Callithrix jacchus: one gene and its partners. The protein of the gene in region 1 interacts with the protein of each later gene in a pairwise test. Links are inferred from orthologs where the notes say so. Each region holds a gene or a part of one and is shown on either strand. Other genes may lie near its edges. The genes, in order: PPP1R18, STX11 and CCDC102B.

The links.
Region 2: the proteins of PPP1R18 (region 1) and STX11 interact in binary tests that used the Homo sapiens proteins (3 or more experiments, as listed by UniProt). The two-hybrid records come from large-scale screens. The link is inferred for Callithrix jacchus from reciprocal best matches to the Homo sapiens genes PPP1R18 and STX11.
Region 3: the proteins of PPP1R18 (region 1) and CCDC102B interact in binary tests that used the Homo sapiens proteins (3 or more experiments, as listed by UniProt). The two-hybrid records come from large-scale screens. The link is inferred for Callithrix jacchus from reciprocal best matches to the Homo sapiens genes PPP1R18 and CCDC102B.

What each region holds. Positions count from the first base shown.
Region 1 is NC_133505.1:35,482,292-35,487,204, reverse strand, and holds the start of PPP1R18 (phostensin), read left to right. Parts: upstream 1-1,464; 5' UTR 1,465-1,756; coding exon 1,757-1,815; intron 1,816-2,601; coding exon 2,602-4,234; intron 4,235-4,913.
Region 2 is NC_133505.1:150,901,404-150,906,316, forward strand, and holds the start of STX11 (syntaxin-11), read left to right. Parts: upstream 1-2,214; 5' UTR 2,215-2,420; intron 2,421-4,913. UniProt on the Homo sapiens protein: SNARE that acts to regulate protein transport between late endosomes and the trans-Golgi network.
Region 3 is NC_133514.1:111,491,962-111,496,774, forward strand, and holds part of CCDC102B (coiled-coil domain-containing protein 102B), read left to right. Parts: intron 1-1,357; coding exon 1,358-1,978; intron 1,979-4,402; coding exon 4,403-4,623; intron 4,624-4,813. UniProt on the Homo sapiens protein: During interphase, forms fibers at the proximal ends of centrioles to maintain centrosome cohesion. During mitosis, dissociates from the centrosome following phosphorylation to allow centrosome separation. Contributes to CROCC/rootletin filament formation.

The DNA of each region.
Region 1 (4,913 bases):
TTGTGATCCGCCTGCCTTAGTCTCCCAAAGTGCTGGAATTACAGGCATGAGCCACCACGCCCAGTCTCTCTCCCCCTGAATTCTAAATCTTTAACATCCAGGCCCTGGCTGCTTCAGGCCAGAGGCTCAAATCCATGGACTAAAGGAGTTGCCCCTTCCACTACTTGCTACTTTATTCTCTGGGTCCAGCTCCATACTCTAAATTCTGAGTTTCAGCCACTGAACTCCAAGAGTCCACATCTCACCAGCAAGGAAGAGCAGGGTATGGAATTCATCTGTCTCCTCACTGTTTAGGGCATGGCATGCTCCCCTTCAACAGTCTCCTAGAAGGAAAGGATCTGCCCTGACCATTCCGCTGGCGGGCACCATTGCTTCTCTCTGTGCCTCTGGGATCCCCCTCCCACTTCGCCACCTCTGGCTTCCACTCCGAGAAGCTGGACCAGGGTCTGCAAGTTCAAAGGCAGTGGCTGTCCCTCCAGGCCCCACACCTTGCCTCAGCACTCCCGGCCCTAGTGTCTGCACCTCCTTAGGCCCTGCCTCTGAACCTAGTCAAGAGGATTCTCCCGTTCTTAACTTGGGGCTTCCTGTTCTGGATGCTCTGCAGGAAAATAAAAGCCTGATTTTTCTACGTACTGCATGTAGTCTGTCAGTGTCTCCCAAGCTGCAGGGCTGAGTTTGGGAAGGAAAGCCAGAGGGAGCCTGCGAGCCCGCGAAGTGGAGTCTGGGCAGCCACCACGCCCTCTGGCAACCGCTGGCCTTCGACCACCGCGCCCCCGCTGACCCGCCCCCACTTTGCCAGAGAGGCCGGGTCCCCATTCCTTCAAATCCCCTTCCCCCACTCCCCAACCCCGCAGCTGACCAAGAGACTCATGGGAGGCAGGTTGAAGCTAGAAAGAGTGGGGACAGCAGCTCTGGTAGGAGAACGAGCTTCCAAAACTGCTGGCTTCTGAGCGCCTCTCCTGCCGCCCCCTCCTCAAGGCCTCCTGGTGGCTGCCCTCGACCCGGCAAAAACAAAGACTGGCCGGAGAAGGCAAAATCGCGGGGAGGGCTGAGAGGCAGGAGATGGGAAGGGCGGGCCCGGCTCCTAGCAGCTGCCGCTTCCTCCCAAAGTCCCACGAGGGGCCTGAGTCACGGGCCACCGCCCTGGGTCGGCGAGCTGGGGGAAGGGATCTGGACACCTGGGTTCTTCAGGGCTACCGGGAGGGAAGCGGTTGAGGGCCCCTGGGGACACAGAGCAGAGGACCAGGGGTTGGGGCGAGTAGGGGGCAGTCCCAGAGCCAGTCCCACGCGCGGTGGGAGGGAGCCCCGCCCTCCCCTCGGGCTCCGCCCTGCGCCCCCTTCCCTCTCCTCATTGTCCTTAGACAAAGCGGTCGCCGCCCCCGCCCGGCCCCCTGATCTCTGTCTCCGTCCCTCCTCCTTTGCTGCCTCTTTCCCTCCTCCTCTCCCTCCTCCTCCCCTCCCTCCAGTCTCCGGATCTCCCTCGGTCCCTCTCTCCTCCTCTTCCTCTCTCTGGACGCCCGGCTCCTCCGCACCCCCTCCCAGGGGGGCCCCACGGCGTGTGAGTTGACTGAGGGGCTTAGACTTGGGGAGGGGGTGTCTCCTCGCTCCCGTCCCTGGCCCGGACCTTGGCTGTCTCCTCTTTGTGCCGAGATTGTCAGTCTGTGCAGCCAGAGCGGGGTGGAGACAGCTGGCTCTGTCACGGCTCCATGAGAGCGGGGACCGGGCATGGGACTCGCAGGCGCTGGAGAGAAGAGGCATGGAGCCGGCCCTCGGCACTCCGGGGTCGCCGGGCGCAGACGGCGGGGGAGGCAGGCGGTATTGACGGGACTGGGTGGGGGTGGATACCAGGGTTCTGGGAACGCGCTGGCAGCCCCGACGCCCGGGTTCCGAAAGTCCCGGGGTGGGTATTTCCCCCGACCCGCCTCGGGGGCGGAGTGCGGGGCAGAGGGGTGGGGGCTGGGGAGAGGCGTGGCCCCAGCGGCACTGGAAGCGGAGCAGGGACCTTTGGGGCCCGCGCTGAGACGCTCCCGGCCGCTACCGCCGCGCTCCCTTCCCCTCTTCCCTGGTTTCCCTTCTCCCCTAGACCTGCTCGCTCTCCGCTCCTCCCTGCCTCCTCGACACCCCCTCAGGTCCCGTTGCCCTCCTCGGGAGGGATTCCCGGTCCTTCCTTCCCACACTCACCTCCCTGGGGTATCGCTGAGGCAGCCAGGCCTGCACCCGGGTTCCCCTCATCCCTGCCCCTTTTCTCTTTTCACCCTCATAGCAACTTTTCTTTTCTCCCATTCTCTGTTTCCCACATCCTAGAGACTGTCTTTAATACGCATTAACCCTGTACTGCCACATCTGGCTCCTGTCCTCATTGCCTCCAATCTGGACTCTTCCTCTCACATCGCCCCCACCACCCCCAACTTGGGCTCATAACTTCTCTTCACTTTTTCCATTTCCCCTGTTCTCTGCCGTCCCTCTTTCCCTTGGTCCTCATCCTCAGCTCCTCTGCCCTGCTCGTGGTCCCACCTCTCCCCCTCCACTTCCTCCCCTCCCACCCTCAGTCTCACTCCCTGGGCCTCTCTGGAGCCTCTTCTTCCTGTTCTCTGCCCCCAGTGCTCCCTACCCTCACCTCAAGGCGACCATGACCACCATCCCAGACTGGAAGCTACAGCTGTTAGCCCGGCGCCGGCAGGAGGAGGCGTCCGTTAGAGGCCGGGAGAAGGCAGAACGGGAGCGCCTATCCCAGATGCCAGCCTGGAAGCGAGGGCTTCTGGAGCGCCGCCGGGCCAAGCTTGGGCTGTCCCCTGGGGAGCCTAGCCCTGTGCCAGGGACTGCAGAAGCCGGACCTGCAGACACAGATGAATCTGCGGTCCTTCAGGAGGCCATCGGGCCAGTGCACCAGAACCGATTCATCCGGCAGGAGCGGCAGCAGCAGCAGCAACGGAGTGAAGAGCTGCTAGCTGAGAGAAAGCCTGGATCTCTGGAGGCCCGGGAGCGGAGACCCAGCCCTGGGGAGATGCGGGATCAGAGCCCCAAGAGAAGAGAGTCAAGAGAAGAGAGACTAAGTCCCAGGGAGACCAGAGAGAGGAGGCTGGGGATAGGGGGAGCCCAAGAGTCGAGCCTGAGGCCTCTGGAGGCTCGGGACTGGAGGCAAAGCCCAGGAGAGGCGGGAGACAAGAGCTCCCGACTGTCAGAGGCACGGAAATGGAGGCTGAGTCCTGTAGAAACTCCAGAGCGGAGTCTGAGACTAGCAGAGTCTCGAGAGCAAAGCCCCAGAAGAAAAGAGGTGGAAAGTAGACTGAGCCCAGGGGAATCTGCCTACCCGAAGTTGGGCCTGACAGAGGCCCATAAATGGAGACCTGACTCCAGAGAGTCTCAGGAACAGAGTTTGGTACAACCAGAGGCAACAGAGTGGAGGCTGAGGTCAGGAGAAGAAAGAAAAGGCTACTCAGAAGAATGTAGGAGAAAAGAAGGGAGGCCAGTTCCAGGGGTGGCCCCAGAAGAGACTACAGAGCTGTCAGAGACCCTGACAAAGGAGGCCCAAGGCAGCAGTTCTGCAGGAGTGGAGGCTGCAGAACAGAGGCCTATGGGAGACAGTGAGAGGGGCATGAAGCCAACAGAAGGGTGGAAATGGACCCTGAACTCTGGGAACGCTCGAGAATGGACACCCAACGACAACGAGGCTCAAACTCAGAAACCAGAACCTCCAGAGTCAGTGGAAAAGCGTCTGGAGCCTCCCGGTGTGGAAGCTGGAGAAGGGGAGGCTGAGAAGGAGGAGGCGGGAGCTCAGGGCAGGCCTCTGAGAGCCCTGCAGAACTGCTGCTCTGTGCCCTCCCCCCTCCCACCAGAGGACGCTGGGACTGGAGGCCTGAGACAGCAGGAAGAAGAAGCAGTGGAACTCCAGCCCCCACCACCAGCCCCTCTATCTCCCCCACCCCCAGCCCCAGCTGCCCCCCAACCTCCTGGGGATCCCCTCATGAGCCGCCTGTTCTATGGGGTGAAAGCAGGGCCAGGGGTGGGGGCCCCCCGCCGCAGTGGACACACCTTCACCGTCAACCCCCGGCGGTCTGTGCTCCCTACGACTCCCCCAGCCACCCCAGCCTCTCCAGCCACAGCTGATGCTGCAGCCCTGGGGGCTGGGAAGAAGCGGTACCCAACTGCCGAGGAGATCTTGGTTCTGGGGGGCTACCTCCGTCTCAGCCGCAGCTGCCTTGCCAAGGGGTCCCCCGAAAGACACCACAAACAGGTAGGGGAACAGCCGAGCCAGACTTCTTAGAAGCCCACTTGTCAATTCTCTCTGGATGCCGGTCTTTCTTTTTTATACCCCTGTATTCTTGTTTTCCTCTATTATTTCTTGTCAATTCCTGCCACCACCCTTCCTCCCTTTGCACACACACCCTTCCTTCTCTGAGCCCTCCTTTTCCATTTTGAACCCAAAAGATCCTGTCCCAGCAAAGGCTGTCTCTGGGTGTGTCTCTTTCAGGGTGTGCCGGCTGCTCATTGTCCCTTCCCTCAGGCTCTGAGTTTCCTACCCGCTTTTCTTTCCTTCCTTTCCTGAGTTTGACCTGCCCCAGCCCATCCAGTGGGAGATCCCAAATGAACAAGCTTGATTCAGTGAGGGCAGGGTCACCAGGTGAAAATACTTGCAGTTTTTCTGGGGAGAAGGGGTAGGGAGCCTGGGGTGTGGAGGGGGTGAGTTTTGGGTTCTAGGGAGAAATTGCAGGGAGAAGTGAATGGAGGAAGTTCCAACTACCCCATGAGAAGGAGGGCAGAGCTGAATAGGGACATCCTAGGACGCAGGGGAGAGGAGAGATGGAACTGGGCTGGCCAAAGAGCAGAGAGAAGGCTTTTGAACCCTGAGTCTGCCCCATGGGAGAGACACAGAGAGGCCATTTGAAGTGGGTGACCTTGGGGTTGCACACCCC
Region 2 (4,913 bases), about 120 Mb from region 1:
AAGCAATTCTCTGCCTCAGCCTTTTGAGTAGCTGGGATTACAGGCATCCACTACCACGCTCAGGTAATTTTTTTATATTTTCAGTAGAGATGGGTTTCACCATGTTGGCCAGGCTGGTCTTGTACTCCTGACCTCGTGATCCACTCGCCTCGGCCTCTCAAAGTGCTGGGATTACAGGCATGAGCCACCTCGCCCAGCAAATAAACTGCATCTTTTAGAACAGTTTTAGACTTACAGAAAAATTGCAAAGGTAGTACAGAATTGCCATAAATTCTATTTCAGATTTTCCATGATTAGCATCTTACATTACATTCCTCAAGACTAATCAACCTTGATTCTTATTATTAATGAAAGTCCTTACTTTACTTAGATTTCCTTAGCTTTTCCCCAAGTCCTTTTTCTGTCGCAGGATCTCATCCAGGATACCACATTACATTTAGTTTTCACATCCTCCTTAGCTTCTTTTAGGCTGTGGCAGTTTTTCAGACTTTCCTTATTTTTATTTTTAATTTTTGTAGAGACAGGGTCTTGCTATGTTGGCCAGACCAGGTCTTGAACTCCTGGCCTTAAGCAATCCTCTCGCTTCAGCTTCCCACAGTGCTGGGATTACAGGTGTGAACCACCACGTCTGGACTGTACTTTTCTTACTTTTGATAACCTGACAACTTCGAGGAATATGGTCAGGTATTTTGTAGGATGTCCCACTATTGAAATTAGTTTGGTATTTTTCTCATTATGAGACAGTGGTTATGGGTTTTGGGGAGGAAGACCACAGAGGTAATGGGCCATATTCATCACATTGTATTAACTACATGTCATCAATATAATTCATGATTGTTGACGTTTACTTAGAACATCTGGCTGGCGTAGTGTCTGTCAGCTTTCTCCATTGTAAAGCTACTCTTTTCCCCTTTCCATACTGTACTATTTTGGAGGAAGTCACTGTGCACTGCCTACGGTAGATGATCTACATAAATTATTTGGAATTATTCTGTGTAGGAGATTTGTCTCCTCTCTGCCTTTTATTTATTTATTCAATTATTTATTTATATGAGTGTAGACTCATGGATATTTTTTACTTTGGCTTTTAATCCAATAAGACTTTGTTTAGTTTACTTCGTTGCTCAAATGGTTCCATCTTTGGCAACTGGGAGCTCTTTCAGGTAGTTCTGTGTTTAAACATTCTCCCATCAAGGCAGGATTCGTTTTTTATTTTTATTTTTCCTTCTCATTCTTTTGCCCAGGCTGAAGTGCAGTGGCAGGATCTAGGCTCACTGCATGCTTGACCTCCTGGGCTCAAGTGATCCTCCCACCTTAGCGTCGCGAGTAGCTGGGACCACAGAGGCGCGCCACCATGCTCAGCTAATTTTTGTATTTTTTGTAGAGATGGGCTTTCACCATATTGTTCAGACTGGTCTCAAACTCCTGGGCTCAAGCGATCCTCCCACCTCAGCCTCCCAAAGTGCTAGGTTATGGGCGCGAGTCACCGCGCCTGGCCCGATTTCCCTTTTTGAATCTCACTTACTTTTCAGCCTCACCTTTGTTTTTCAAGGTGCTTACCGCCACCTGGCACAATCCACACTTTGTTTATGTCTCCCCATTAAAGTGCCAGGACCTGGAGGGGGGGTCTTGGCAGTATTTTTGAGAGCGGTGGTACCCTGGGCACACAAGGGGACGCTCAGCTAATATCCAGGGAATGATGAGCCCGTAGGGTCCTGAGGCCGACTGGAGAGGGGTTGGCCGCCGGGTTCTGGGAAGGCGGTGGTCGGCCGCTGTGTGACCGCAGGCTCCTTGCCCGCCTCCTGGAAGGTCCAGGGGGTGCAGGACCTGCTGCAGCCTCGGCAGCCACACCCACGCTCAGAGACCGCTTCCACCGTCCTCGCCGCGGAAACGCACCGGACGGCAAATGTCATCAGCGCAGCGGGGATTCCCGGGGAAAGTCCACCGCGCTCCCTGCCCTAGGAACCGGAGGATGAGCAGAGGAAGTGCCTCTGGCTGCAAACCTCCCACTCCCCGCGAGGGTCCGCTCCGCCCGCGGGAACTCCCCGAGACGTACGGGAGGTGCTGGAGCGCGTCCCCGGCTCCGGGCGGTCCCGAGCGCAGGGACTCCGGGCGGGGCGGGAACCTGCGCTCCGCGAGCCGCCGCGCCCCGGCGCTGTCATCCCGGGGCGGGGCCTTGTCCCCAGCTGTGGTCGCTTCCTAAGCGGCTAGGGCAGAGCCGGCGGCGCCCAGATGCGGCCGCGGCGGGGCGGAGCTCGGGCCGCAGTGAAGGAGCCCAGCCTCTGCCGCAGGGGACGCGGGAGGCGCCGGGAGCCGAGCCGCCGGGAGTCGCGCAACAGGTTTCCTTCCCCAACGCGGCGCCCACGGGGGACGAGCGCCCGGCCGGGATAGGGGCTTCTCGGTTCGAACTCTCGCTCCGGGTACTGGTTTGTTTTTCTGTCCCTGAGCTCCCCATTTCTCTACCTATTCCCGGTGCGCGGAGAGTGCGGGGAGGTGGGCGGGCCGGGGCGGGGACACTGTCTGGGCTCCGGATCCGCGGCGGTGCCTTAGTGGGTTTTGGTGCAGGGCCTCACGCCGCCTCTGGGCACCTTCGAGAACACAGCACTGGGTTTCTCATATAAAGCGGAATGATATTTTTTGAATTACTTTTAATTTCAGAGGCCAAGGGACTGAGAATTTAGCGCTTCATAGGAATTATTTTAGGGATACCCGTTGGTAGGCTGCCTTTATAAAGCGTCCACCTAAGACTACCTTTAAGTTGAAAGGCTGAAGTGTTTCTTTGTTATCACCTCTTCATTTCCTATTAGGGTGACTGTGTCAAAAACACCAGAATGGGTACCTCTTGACTTGAACTTGGCACTGTCACCCAGAAGCCGGGAGAGACGGAGAAATTGATAGAGCCTTGGAGCAGTCCCTTCAAAGCCCACATAAGACTTTGTTTTAGAAAAATGGAGAGGAAGGGTAGTGGCAATCCTGCGAGAACCACTCTGTCCAAGAGGGAATTCTGCCTTTTTCTAGACTCCTCTGACACCAGCTGAGCTCTGTATTACTTCCTGTGGTTCTCACGCACTTGTTTCAGCCGTTTCTCAGCAAAGGGAGGAGTTGTTATTTACGGGTATCCAAAAATGAGTCACACGGCTGCTCTCTTAATTGTGAGACTTTGTTAATGAACTTTTTGAAAAGCGAGGCTTGCTCTGTCTGTATTTAAAATGAGGCTCTAGATGTGAAATGCCTGCCCTGCTAACCTGGGGCAGTGGTATGGGTAGTGATGATTTGAGTTTTCAGTTTCCTAAGGCGCCTGATGTTACAACATGCCAGTAAAGGTCACTGGGCTGATCTAAGATAACCATTAAAATCATGTGCTTTGCCACAGAAGCCCAAGGGAAAATTAATTTCAGTATCTAGTGACCATTTTGTCCTCATTTTCACTGCATGGTAGAAATGTATCATTTAATGTGGTGACTGTAACTCTCTAAAATCAAAATATTTCTAACAATTTGTATTTACTAAATTGATGCTAAAACCACACGACGATTTTTGAAGTGGGTAGGTCCCAGCAGGAGCAGAGAAATTTAAAAGTTGAAACTCACAGGTCCCATTGTAGTGGGTAGCAGCGCTTAGGCAAGGTCTGCACAGGCTCTCAACATGATAGAAAAGGGAGCACCATCTCTACTGGAGCTGAGTTGAGCTGAGTTCAGCCCCAAACAACAGTTACCAGGCACCTTCTCTGTGCCAGCCTCTTCTCTGAACCTTGCTTGTGCAACTAGGAATAAAAGGATCCTGCTGACAAGCTGCTAGGGTAAATCTACACCCAGATGGATGTTTCTGTCCCAATATAACTCAGTAAGCTGGGTCCCAGTGTATTTAAAAATTAAACAGCCAGTTACTACCCCTAGATAATTACAGTCACCTTTAGTTCATAGTGTGACTTTTAGGAAATAGTGTGACTAAATAATAGTTTATTTAAATACACTGGAAAATCCATTATATATGTGCTAGGGTACATCTATGCCCAGAGTGAAGTTTCTGTCCCAATATGACTGATGTTTCTGCAGATCTGGGATTTGGAATGGACTGGGTCATGGCTGGAAAAGCGAGGAAGCTTTTGAGTTGACTCATTTACTTGTCTTTGTAGGCAGCCTATTCTTCATTTGATACATGATTTAAAAAATATGAATTAGAAAGGTATGGTTTTTAAAGCATTTGAATGAACCATATTTCATACTATTTAATAACCATGTGAAACTAAACTCAGCTGATTATCACCCCTGGACAATTGCAGTCACCTTTAGTTAACAGCATGACTTTTAGAAAATAGTATGACTAATTAATAGGTTGTTTTGTTTTGTTTTGTTTTGAGAGAGTCTCACTCTGTTGCCCAGGCTGGAGTGTAGTGGCGCAATCTTGGCTTGCTGGAATCTCCACCTCCCGCATTCAAGCAATTCTCGTCCTTCAGCCTCCCAAGTAGCTGGGACTACCAGCTCCCACCACAACAACCGGCTAGTTTTTGTATTTTTAGTAGAGTCAAGGTTTTGTCCTGTTGGCCCAGCTGGTCTCAAACTCCTGACTGCAGGTGAGCTGCTCACCTTGACCTCCCAAAGCGCTGAGATTGCAGGTGTGAGCCACCATGCCCTGCCTAATAGTTTATAAATTGATAACACTATATTGAGGCAAGTTTCTGATCATTGTTTTTGCAGTTCAAATCAATGTTTTTAGCACGTTATAGCCATATGAGCCCAAATGCATAAACATACTGTATCACAGTTTACTGTTGCAATTGAAATCTGCTGAGAGGCTTTTAGACTTGATGCCCAAGTATCAAGGTTTCCAAGTTTCCCCAGTTTGCTAAGATACCCAACTAGTAAAGGTAACAATGCTAAATTGGAGACAAATTGGCCTTAATTTCCAAACTT
Region 3 (4,813 bases), on another chromosome or scaffold:
CACACAAAAATCATGTCTTTTTCATAATATTTTATTTTTAGAGCTTATCACAATATTAACAACAGTAATAAATTAATTCATGTATAAGTTAGATGTGCTTTTGCTTGAAAGTAACAGAAAACTCGACTGTCATAACTTAAATATAGGTTATCCTGCTCACATAGTAAAGAAGTCAGAGGTATGCATTCTAGATTTCATGCCACAATTCACACCTTAAATCACCTCTTTATCTTTATGATTCACCACTTTGAATGTTATGAGAAGCCTCTTAAACTTACTTTCTTCCAGAACCACATCCTTTTTCAAACACGAGGAAGGCAGAGGAAAGAAAGTTCCTCATTGTGATGTTCACATATTTTTCTAGATGGGGAAACCTCAGTATACTTCATCTCACATCCCAGCAGCCAGAGCCAGGCCATAGCCCTGTCATGAAAGTAGTCAACAGTCAATAGATGAAGGGCATCATGGAAAAGGTAGACTATGGTTTAACCTCTGGGATTGGGATAGAGGCTTATTCGCCCATAGATCAATAGGTTCCGCATTCTGCCTGAAATAATTGAGGCTTAATTAGCAGGAAAAAAGAAAACTATTAAGTAGTTATTGGACCTGAAATATTACAGTTTGTATTTTGTAGTGGACAATCTTCTAATAGATAGGACCTGAATAGAACTGGATTTGTCAAAATGAATTTTTTTTTATGTCATATGCTATCTGAAATTGTATCTTTATATTTTGACTTGTATTTGTTTGGCAAAATTGAATATGAGCATTTTCTATTTCTTAGTGGATAGTTACAAATGTTTAAATTCCTCCATATTTTTAGCTACACTGGAAAAATATGCAATATTGAAAAGATGGGGCTGGATGTGGTGGCTCACGCCTGTAATCCCAGCACTTTGAGAGGCCGAGGCAGGTGGATCATGAGGTCAGTTCAAGACCAGCCTGGCCAAGATGGTGAAACCCCATCTCTACTAAAACACAAAATTTAGCCAGGTGTGGTGGCACATGCCTGTAACTCCGGCTACTCGGAAGGCTGAGGCAGGGGAATTGCTTGAATCTGGGAGGCAGAGGTTGCAGTGAGCCAAGATTGGGCTACTACACTCCAGCCTGGTAACAGAGCAAGATTCTGTCTCAAAAAAAAAAAAAAAAGAAAACTAAAAGGAAAATAAAAGAACAAGCAAAAAAGAAAAAAAGCAAAGCAGGAGACACACAAACAAACAAATGCATGTAAAGCAATGTATTTTTTCTTTTTTTAGAAAAGATGCATTGCTTTCATAAATTTTCGAAAATGTAGGTCTTGTTCTTGTAATTGCAAGGGAAATTTCAGAGTGAAATTATGTTCTCTATCTTTTCTTAGGTCTTAACGATAAATATGAATTTAGATTCCATTCATCGGTTAATTGAGGAAACACAGATCTTCCAGATGCAGCAGTCATCAATTAAGTCACACTGTGACATGGTGGCACCTGCCTCACCCACCAGGGATACCTATAATACCTGCTTCCCATTTTATGGGCTACAGTCTCATGCTGCTCACAATTTATGTGCACATTCATGTAACACCAATGAATGGGATATTTGTGAAGAACTTCGCCTCCGGGAACTTGAAGAAGTCAAGGCCAGAGCTGCTCAGATGGAAAAGACCATGCGGTGGTGGTCGGACTGCACTGCCAACTGGAGAGAAAAATGGAGTAAAGTTCGAGCGGAAAGGAACAGTGCCAGGGAGGAAGGAAGACAACTCAGGCTAAAACTAGAGATGGCAATGAAAGAATTGAGTACACTGAAAAAGAAACAGAGTTTGCCACCTCAGAAGGAGGCATTAGAAGCTAAAATCACCCAGGATCTGAAGCTTCCTGGTTTCGTAGAAGAATCCTGTGAACATAGAGAACAATTTCGATTTGGTTTTCAAATGTGTGAGTCTATCAGAGAGTGTTTAGTAAAAAGACAATTTTCTACAAAGGAGGAAACAAATAATAAGGTAAGAAAGAATCCAGAGTTGATGTGAATTTCTGAATGTCATACGTAGTGACGGGAGGAAGAAGGAAGTGACAAATCCAGTGGTGACTATGCTAGTCTGCCAGGGCTACCGTCACAAAGTACCCTAATCAGGGTGCTTTAAGCAACAGAAATGCATTTTCTTACAATTGTAGAAGCTAGTAGTACACGATCAAGGTGCTAGCATGGTTGGTTTCTTCTGAGGCCTCCCTCCTTGGCTTATAGAATACTGATTTCTCCCCGTGTCTTCCATGGTCCTTTCTCTGTACACATGTCTGTGTCTTAAGTTCTTTTAGGACAGTCTAATGAACCTAATTTAACTAAATCATCATCCTAAGGCCCTGTCTTTACTAACAATCACATTCTGAGGTACTGGGGGCTAGGACTTCAACAAATAAATTTTGGGAAAGCACACTTTCAGCCCATACCAGTTGTTTTACTAATATTAATAGGGAAAAAAACTCAACAATTTTTTATCCGAAAAGAAAATATTTGGAGACATTTCTTTCCATTTACCTTAATTTGTCAAAATTGTGAACAATCCATAGTGTAGTTTGAATATTTCTCAAAGTTTGGGACTCAAGCCTCATGATTAACTTCTTATAAAATGGGTACTGCAGGCAAATAGGGTACTTTAGGAAATGCTTCATATGGTCCACACTGATGGAATTTCTTGATATACTTAGAATATCAGTTTCTGAGAATTCTGCACAAAACAAGTGTAACTTTAAAACGTCTATCAGTTTGTACACTTATTCACCCATGAACCGCCACTCTGTTTTGTTTGTTTGAACTTGGTAAATACTATTAACAACCCAAAGAACATACTTTGGGAACTCCTGTTACCTCTTATCATAATATCAGTTTATTTTGTTACCTCTTTTACTTTATCCCACCTCTAATACATATTAGTTAATATCTGGCACCACTACCATTGCATTTAGTGTTTTAAGCCATTCTATAACATATAGAATTTATGGTAGATAAAAACTAGAATTCATTGCAAATAAAATAATGAAGAAGATTACAATAATGTAATTACTTCTTCTTATTTGTTCTTTTACATTTTCTTTTAAAAGCATTCAATGTTGATAATCTAGGCTGTTAGTACCTTTGTATGTATCTTTTGGAAAATCATATATTCTCGAAATTCAGCTATATTAATGTATGCGCTAGAGGAATGTAATGACAAGCATAAGGGAATGTAGCTCACATAATGTTCTCTGAATCCACAAGACTTTTTTATTATTACAAGTTACTAGACTTTGCATTTGAGAGAATGAAGGATTCTCTTCACATGTATTATTATGGAAAATTCTCAGTATCTTGGGATTTCTTCTGAAATATCTTTGTAACATTAATGTCAAGAAGAAATCAAACATAGTAGGTATTTATTAAACTTTATTTATTTGCAAAAAATCCTTCTGGAATTTCCTTCTGATAGTAGGAAAATAAATATTACCTGTTGAAGAAGTTTTAATCATTTTTTTCCTTAAAACTTTGACCTAACTTTGCCAACTCTATGCCCAACAAGAAAGATATGTATATGTATCATTCATCTGACTTCAATACTTTCCATGAACAATACATCTTATTTTATTGTTTGTCAAAATATTATGATACAGATAATTGCAATACTCATTCTTGAGAGAATTGAGGAATGAATTATACTAGGTAATCTGGCACCCATATATTATTTAAAACATAAAATATTGAAGCATTCTGGAGATTTTACTTAAACTTGATTATTCAATGAGATTTTATTTGAAATTGTCTTTCACTTCGAACTTATAAACTAGGGTAAATTTAAATTATAGTCAAATACCAATAGCATGAGTCCTGTGAAGCTTTTGAGTTACGCACTAAGAATATTGACGCAGTTGCTGCTCTAGTATTGATGTCCGTATCAAGTGTCCCATTAAATTCTATTTGAGATGTGACTCATTAACTAAAATAAAGCAATAAGTGAGCTTATTGAAATATTCAAGAGCTTTCTGAAAATTCTATCGTCTTTCAAAAATGTTACAAAAATAATTACTTTGAAACTATGTCTTTCTTATGACAAAAGAAACTTGAAAAAGAATTCATCAACTCATTAAAAAATTCTTTTCAGCTGTTCAACTTTGTGCATGGTTATTTTTAGCTATGATTAGAAAAAGAAAACAAACAAAGAGGTAAAGCAGACCCTTTTAGAAATGTATTTTATTATAACAAGGAAGAACATAGAAAAGTTTGAAGAAGAACTCAAGTAAGTTCAGCCACGTAACACTTTTAGGTACTGATAATGAAATAAAAATATGGATTTGATGCTGTATTGTAACGTTTATTTCTTTATGAAATTGTATTGTTGTCATGATTTTTCTCCTAAGGGGTTTAAATATCCACCATAATTGTTTTATTTTTTCAGGAAGAAGGAGCGGTTATTGATTCTTTAAAATTAAATGACGAGATGAAACCTAATCTAGATAGTGTTGATTTATTCAAGAATGGTGGCTCTGGAAATGGTGAAATGAAACCTGGGCTGAAACTGAAAGCAATAAATCTGCCTTTGGATAATCAAGTAACTGAAATTTCAGCTTTGCAGGTGCATTTGAATGAGTTCCAAAAAATCTTATGGAAAGAAAGAGAGTAAGTGCTAATCATTCTCTACCTTAACCAAGTCTGTTTCAAACCACTTAAAATTGTTAACACTGATAGATCGATCATTTGTTAATGTATTTTATCCATGTTTAGTCGTTACGTTTTAGTATTTAAATAAATTAGTTTGACATATATTTTGAATTTTGAAAAGTAATCTATAACTTGTTAGTGTTCTTCA